Linked DNA regions of Kluyveromyces lactis. The protein of the gene in region 2 binds, or shares a complex with, the protein of the main gene of each other region. Links are inferred from orthologs where the notes say so. Each region holds a gene or a part of one and is shown on either strand. Other genes may lie near its edges. The genes, in order: MRPL49, IMG1 and RTC6.

Region 1 (2,253 bases), about 740 kb from region 2:
ACATCCCAATTGAATAATAGTCGCTCAGATGTTAACGAATTGGTGCTCCCACCAGAGGACTTCCTGGATCCCTTGCTGCTGGAATCAAAACTATAATCGTTCTTCAAACCACTGGTCACCTTGTGATCCAATGACGATGGATAAAACTCACTGATATTGGCAGGATCAACATGTTTGTTGAGTATAGATGAGGCAGATCCTGACCTTGAATGTCCAGCAGTGCTACTCTTCTTCTTCAAGAAAGACATATCATCCACGGTTCATCTATATTTAGCGGGACTTTACTTATCAGATACTAAAGTATCGATACCCAGTAATTGTTGCACTAAGCTCTTCTCTTATCGTCTTTCTCCCCTCTTTATTAACGATTAAAATGGTATTAATTACAATTGTTTCTATTTGAATTTATATCTATTCTCTAAAACGGTAAACGTTTCTAACAAATTCGATGAGATGCTGCCACTAAAACATAGTTACTAGATGGTATAGTATTTCTAATCGATCTATAACGACCTAACATTATATTAAACTTTTATTTACACGATTTTGTAGGAGGGTTAGTTCATTAATTGACTTTTAGCTCGGATATTCTCAGAATAGTCAAATCGGCTTTATTGACCGCATGACGCACTTTCCTGTTTCTTCTCTTGGTAACTTCTCTCACTCTAAGCGGGCGTTTTGTCTTCTCAAGAACTGTAGCCTTAATAGTGTATAGAGATGGATCAATAGGTTCGTCCACGAGCTTGAAGTTACGAGAACCAATGGTAGTCACATCAGTCAAATTTAGCACATCGCCGACCTCTGCTTGCTTCAGTTTAAACGGTAAGATAACCTTATCTCCTTCTGTCACCAAGTATGGTCTGTTGTGTATTCTGAATACGGCATATAGCTCATTGGATAACTTCAACGGCGTTAAATTCACCTTCGCTTTTTCTGCTACCGAGTGTGTTGTTCTGATGAAACTTCTCTTCAAAGGTTGAAGAAATGGGCTGAAACCCACCATTTGCCTTACTGGGAGGGCAAACATATGACTGATATTCTTGAACATCGTTTCTGCACTGATTCGAACGACAATTGGCAGATGCAATAGCCCTTTCAATCTGCTTCTTCTCACTTGTCTTAAATGTTGTTCAACTAGTCGTATACTGTTTCAACAGAAAATTTTTTGAGCCTTCGAGAGTTAAGTGTTGATGTCAGTCACGTGACGTGACGTGAAAAGTAGGGCACACACACAGTCATGAGAAGGAAGAGCCAACGGCCACGCCAAGGGACAGCGTCGTTTCATTTGTGCATTCATTCGGGTATGTTACAAATGTTACAGAACTTTTATACATGAGTCAAACTATTCTTTTAATCCTGTGACAATTCATGCAGATTTGCGTTTATCACCGTTCAAGGATCTCATGACCTTCCTTCTTTGGGCAACCATGTGTGAGAATAGCACCGGGAACCCTGGAATGTAGGCTAGCATACCTGCAATTAAGAAATACTTGTACAAGATATTGTATTTTGCTTCAGCCAACGGCAATGCAGAATAAATTATGAACAATTCGCTGCCGACGCCCAATGGATATAGCACGTAAAACATGTTATATCTCAATACAACAAGTACAGTAGGCGCTTGAGCCACCAAGTTGAAGAAGTAGAACATGTACCTCACTATTTCAGCAATACACCATGCCGACAACAACGTGATGTAATATATTTTATGCGCATTTTCTGCTTCCGGCACATACTGGAAGATACCGATGACTACCAAGAGTCGAGAGGCCACTTGAGCAGCAGTGGTCACTAGCGGAGCACGGACTATTCCAAACAAAGAATTTGTGACTTCAATTATAGCACCGCATTGAACGTACGTGACTAAATCCTTGGTAGCAATAAAGAAACTTGGTTGACCGATCTTTGGGTAAAGGGTCACGACTTGATATAGGACATAAGCCCAGGCAGAAGCAGAAAGTAGGTTGTAAAGAGGAAGGAAGGAGAAGATAGAAGCCTTAGATGATGCCATTGGGTGTGAAAGTGTATTGGTGGGCTCTTTGGACTTCGGGGTTCAATTTATTAAGATCCAGTTCGGTTCTAAACAGACCAGTTTTTGTCAATAACAAGAATTCATGGTTTCAGATTCATAAAATTAAGTGATGCATTGAGACGAAAAGGAAGAGAAATCCAACAATACCCAAATTAACAAATTGCAGTATGTATTGATGACATGAGAATTAAGATTTGAATTAGTGTTACTCGTATGTTATT
Region 2 (2,382 bases):
AGTTTCTTTTCCGAACGTTTGATTCAAAATTTTAAAGCTCATCTCGGTCATCGCCAAACATTTACGAACTAACAATGGCTACTTGAGCAAGCTGTTTGCATTGATATGCTCTGTTAATCAACTGACGGGAATAAAGTATAATAGGATAACAATTACAAGAAGTTTGAGATCGAAATGTCACGTCCAGAAGATTTGGCACCACCAGAAGTGTTTTACAATGACAGTGAATCTAAGAAGTATAGTGGCTCCACAAGAGTGCAACATATTCAAGCTAAAATGACACTTCGGGCCTTAGAACTTCTCAACCTGCCACATACATCATATATCTTGGATATTGGGTGTGGGTCTGGTTTAAGTGGTGAAATCATCACTGAAGAAGGACATATATGGTGTGGATTAGACATTTCTCCTAGTATGTTAGCTGAAGCGCTAGAAAGAGAAGTTGAAGGTGATCTTATGTTACACGATATAGGTCAAGGTATTCCATTTAGAGCAGGTGTATTTGATGCGGCAATTAGTATATCTGTGATTCAATGGTTATGTAATGCGGACACATCGTACAACGATCCAAAGAGAAGGCTCATGAGGTTCTTCAATACACTATTTGCTAGTTTGAAGAAAGGAGGAAAATTTGTAGCACAATTCTATCCAAAGAATGATGATCAAATAGACCAAATCTTGGGAGCAGCAAAAGTAGCTGGATTCTCTGGTGGCCTTGTCATTGATGATCCCGAGTCCAAAAAGAACAAGAAGTACTACTTGGTATTAAGCTCCGGATCTACAGAACAGAATGAACAAGTCAACTTGGATGGTGTTAAGATGGATGCAGATCTAATGGTAAAGAGAGAGCGTAAAAAGAAACTAGTTGAATCAAGTAAGGATTACATCAACAGAAAGAAGGAGGTGATGAAAAAAAGAGGTAGAAAGGTAGCTCTCGACTCGAAGTTTACGGGTAGAAAGAGAAGACCTAGGTTTTAGTATGGTCTTGCATATATAGAATTAGTAGATACGCACTTAATACAATCAGCAAACATGGACTGAAACGTTATCATTCATTCACCATTTTCCGTGTCTATTGCATCTGCCATGATCAAAACGTTTAAAATGATCATCAAACCTATGTTGTAGTTTTCCATAGAAAGAACATTCGAAAATTTTGGTTAAAAAAGATGGAAACATAAGTACCTAAGAGTTAAGAAAGCACTGAAGCGCAGTTTATATTTGAGTTTAAGCCTTTACTACCCGTCAGATCAAGTTCCCATTCCAAAACTATATTAGTCCCATACAATGTTAAAGAGACTACTACCTACCGTTATCAGACAATCTGTTAGAAGTTATCAACTTCCAGCTAAGAGTGGAAGAAAGATTATTCCAGTTTACCCACCAGTTGAAAGAATATCCTCCCCATTAGTAGTGAAGACTCTAGCTGATCATGATCTAAAACAACTTGACCCAACTGGTGTAAAAACAGAGATGGTTTCAAAGAAAAACCCAAATCGTCTACGTGCAGGTGATGTTCTTCGTGTAGTTTACGATTCCAAGAAATGCAACTACGATAGTTTTACTGGATATGTGCTATCGGTAGACCGTAAGCCAATAGTACAAGACACATCCATTCTATTAAGAGATTATATTTATAAAACCTGTGTGGAAATGAGAGTGCCAATCTTCTCACCATTGGTAGAGAGAATTGATTTGATTAGAAGAGCGGATGGTAAGAGACGCAGAAGTAAACATTATTACATCAGAAACACCAGATTGGATGTCGGAGATTTGGAAGCAAGTATGAGAAAGAAGAAATGAGCACATTCACACTATCAAACACTTGCTGAATTTTCATAAAATGAAACATGTACATAGAAGCAATTCAAACATATAGTAAGTAATGCTCGATATCAATGCAAACCCAAAGACAAGGAAGATTCAAAGTTGAAAGAGCTCCAGAGTTGAACCATAATGCAAGGTACTCTATGCAGGTCCAGCTTCTCTAGGTAAAGTTATTTGTATCATTAGCATGTCGGGTGGATATATAATTGTATAATCTGTAAAATAAAAAGGCGGATTATGCTAGTCCTTATACCTCATCAAGTGCATCCAATAAGAAAGGAAAATCATGAGAAAGGATAAGCATAAGAAAGGATTTGTACGCTCTATCTAAAACAAAGCTGCATTGAGTGAGCAAGTTGCTCTATTAGAAATGAAAAGATTACAAGCAATTTTGGTCCGCATTTTTGATAATTTATGAAGGTTCTTGATTGGTTCAAAAAAGTAGTGGTATAATGTTATGAAAGCCGTACCAGCCGTCTCTATTGAAAAAAAATTGAAATAAGCTGACATTAAAAAACAACCATAACAGGTAAGGCAGCACGCCCGCATTTTTGA
Region 3 (2,401 bases), on a different chromosome or scaffold from region 2:
CAAAACAATTACAAAACTGGTCCGAAAAAATCCTGGTACACACAGCAGGTATCAAATCACTCGACGTGAAGCTTGACAAGTCTTCGGATTCATTCAAAGTATATTCTGGGGGTGATGACAATGCTGTAGCCATCACTAAATTTACGAACAATGACAACTACACGATGAAAGCCGAAATACTAGATCACGATTCGTATGCTGCTTCATCAACAGTAACATCAGTGAATCTGTTAGATAATGACACAAAATTATTGGCTACATCAGTGGACCAGGTCATAAGAATTAGGGACATTACGAATGACAAACTGAAAATAACGGAGAGCAAATATACCACAGTAGCAGATACCGGTTCCAGTGATATAGTTACGTTACCAAACGTCCAGAAAACACTTATATTAATAGGAGGATTAGGACTTTCCTGTTGGCGAGATGAATAATATCTAACCATCTAAACTTCAGAATTTTATATATTTAAAACCAGTTTATTAGTATAGAATGGAAATTATTTATAGAAAGAAGGCTGCATTTTTCCACATTCAAGAAAAGAACACATCCTCCATTATGACTTATCTATATACATGAAAGATTGGGACGAATGGGAGGGCGATTGTAATTCAACCTTGACGTTGTTTATGCTTCTTATTGGACTTACAGTAAACGTACACTCTGCCCTTACGTCTAACCATGTAACAATCGTTACAGAACTTCTTGATGGAAGTTCTTACCTTAAAACCTCTGGTCAAAGGAGGGTTCATAAGACCCATCATTGGCATAGATAGCATATTGATACTTTTCACAGCTGGCCTTGTCAGTCTTGTCAACGAGTTCAACATCGTACTTCCGAAAAGTGTGCTCATTATGTATGTATTTCCCTCTCTTTATATTATATCGGGCTCCAGAGTTATACCTGTGAAGAGTTTTCAGTTTTTGATATCACCCACGGTCTTGAAACGTACTAATGGAGTCCACAATCGTCAATAAGGCATCACACCGACTGAACATGCCCTCTATAGCTGATGATCTACCATGAAAAGGCCTTCGATAATTTTTCAAAATAGTTTCAATGGAGATTAAGATATTTACCCGGACTATAGCACGTGATGGTTATGACCTGAGATCTTGAACATCCTCATCTAGTGAACATCTTTGGGCAAATCTGAAGACCGTTTCGAATCACTAACAAATAAATAATTGATGAAGTACACCCATCCTTTCTAAGAGACTCTTCAAGGCAGTTGTTTTATCCTTTTTCTCGGTTCTCACTGTATGTGCAGCAGCGCTCTGAATCGAAAACATTGAACTTCGAAAACGTAAACAATCGAATTTTAGATCAATATATTGACACACAAATACCGAATCATCATAAACTTAAGGACTAATATTTAGGTTAAGTTTCCATTTATTATCATATTTCACCCTGTGTTGATAGTCTCGCTTCATATGACAGATCCAAAACGATTGTCTTTGCTTCCGAGAAGTATCCTTAAGCAAAAATTTAAGGATGATGATACAACTAACACCAGTCATAATTTGACTATGTCCCAGATACAGTTTCCTACTGAGGGAATTACCAAAGAAGATATACTGGACGGAAACAATACGACATCCCGGATCAGTGCTGCGATTTCGAAGGGAAATCGCCGTGTGTCCTTTGCACCAGATGTGACTTTGCACAAGTTCGAATTCATACCACAATCGATTCAAAATGTAAGGGAACCTCGAAGGAAATCCGCTTTAAAATTGGAAGTGGCAGTAGCTGAAGCCTCTATGGCCGATACCAAAAATGATAACGACAATTCTGGAGAAACAATGGAATTTACTAGTCCGATAGGTTCAATATTCCAAAAATTGGAGTCTCCAAGCGAACCGAAAAATGATGGGTACCAACCTGTGTTCGACAAAGAGGTTTCAATGGATATAACACAGTTATTTGCAAAACATAGCGCTAAACCAGACGATAATGTGGTACCGCAAGAAACCTCTACTGCTGCGGAAGAAGAAGAAGAGAATGGTAACGAAGACCAAGTTTTGGAGGAAACAATGGACCTTACAGAACCGCAGAAACGCCGCTTTAACGAAGAAGAGTCTATGGAAATAACTGACCAAATACGGATGGATGCAGAAAAACCTACGCTAGATGCAGATTCAGAATCTGCTTTCAAATTACCTAAGATACCAGCAATTACAGAGGAAACAATGGAATTTACAAACGTGCAGGCTCCTCTGGAGATGCGAGAGTCACAGATAGTTTCTTCAACTCAACTAGAACCAACTCAACTCCCGCAGTCAAAAAGAAGGAAATTATCTAACGGTGGTTATCAGTCTCCGGTCAAATTGCAGGTACCAGTGCAAGTGCAAGAGACCCCTGAACAAAAAGAGAATATAGATGCGGAGCTCACAG

Evidence for each region.
Region 1: IMG1 (region 2) and MRPL49 share a complex: the UniProt entries of both Saccharomyces cerevisiae proteins name them as parts of the mitochondrial large ribosomal subunit. The link is inferred for Kluyveromyces lactis from reciprocal best matches to the Saccharomyces cerevisiae genes IMG1 and MRPL49.
Region 3: IMG1 (region 2) and RTC6 share a complex: the UniProt entries of both Saccharomyces cerevisiae proteins name them as parts of the mitochondrial large ribosomal subunit. The link is inferred for Kluyveromyces lactis from reciprocal best matches to the Saccharomyces cerevisiae genes IMG1 and RTC6.

Annotation. Positions count from the first base shown.
Region 1 is NC_006042.1:1,309,116-1,311,368, reverse strand, and holds MRPL49 (mitochondrial 54S ribosomal protein bL21m), read right to left. Parts: upstream 1,049-2,253; coding exon 566-1,048; downstream 1-565. Other genes in the region: mitogen-activated protein kinase kinase kinase BCK1, read right to left, coding at 1-248; enoyl-CoA hydratase PHS1, read right to left, coding at 1,367-2,011. UniProt on the Saccharomyces cerevisiae protein: Component of the mitochondrial ribosome (mitoribosome), a dedicated translation machinery responsible for the synthesis of mitochondrial genome-encoded proteins, including at least some of the essential transmembrane subunits of the mitochondrial respiratory chain.
Region 2 is NC_006042.1:571,722-574,103, forward strand, and holds IMG1 (mitochondrial 54S ribosomal protein bL19m), read left to right. Parts: upstream 1-1,287; coding exon 1,288-1,803; downstream 1,804-2,382. Other genes in the region: BUD23 (18S rRNA (guanine1575-N7)-methyltransferase), read left to right, coding at 175-978. UniProt on the Saccharomyces cerevisiae protein: Component of the mitochondrial ribosome (mitoribosome), a dedicated translation machinery responsible for the synthesis of mitochondrial genome-encoded proteins, including at least some of the essential transmembrane subunits of the mitochondrial respiratory chain.
Region 3 is NC_006041.1:1,683,311-1,685,711, forward strand, and holds RTC6 (mitochondrial 54S ribosomal protein bL36m), read right to left. Parts: upstream 858-2,401; coding exon 615-857; downstream 1-614. Other genes in the region: tRNA (34-2'-O)-methyltransferase regulator RTT10, read left to right, coding at 1-437; kinetochore-microtubule binding complex subunit SPC105, read left to right, coding at 1,441-2,401. UniProt on the Saccharomyces cerevisiae protein: Component of the mitochondrial ribosome (mitoribosome), a dedicated translation machinery responsible for the synthesis of mitochondrial genome-encoded proteins, including at least some of the essential transmembrane subunits of the mitochondrial respiratory chain.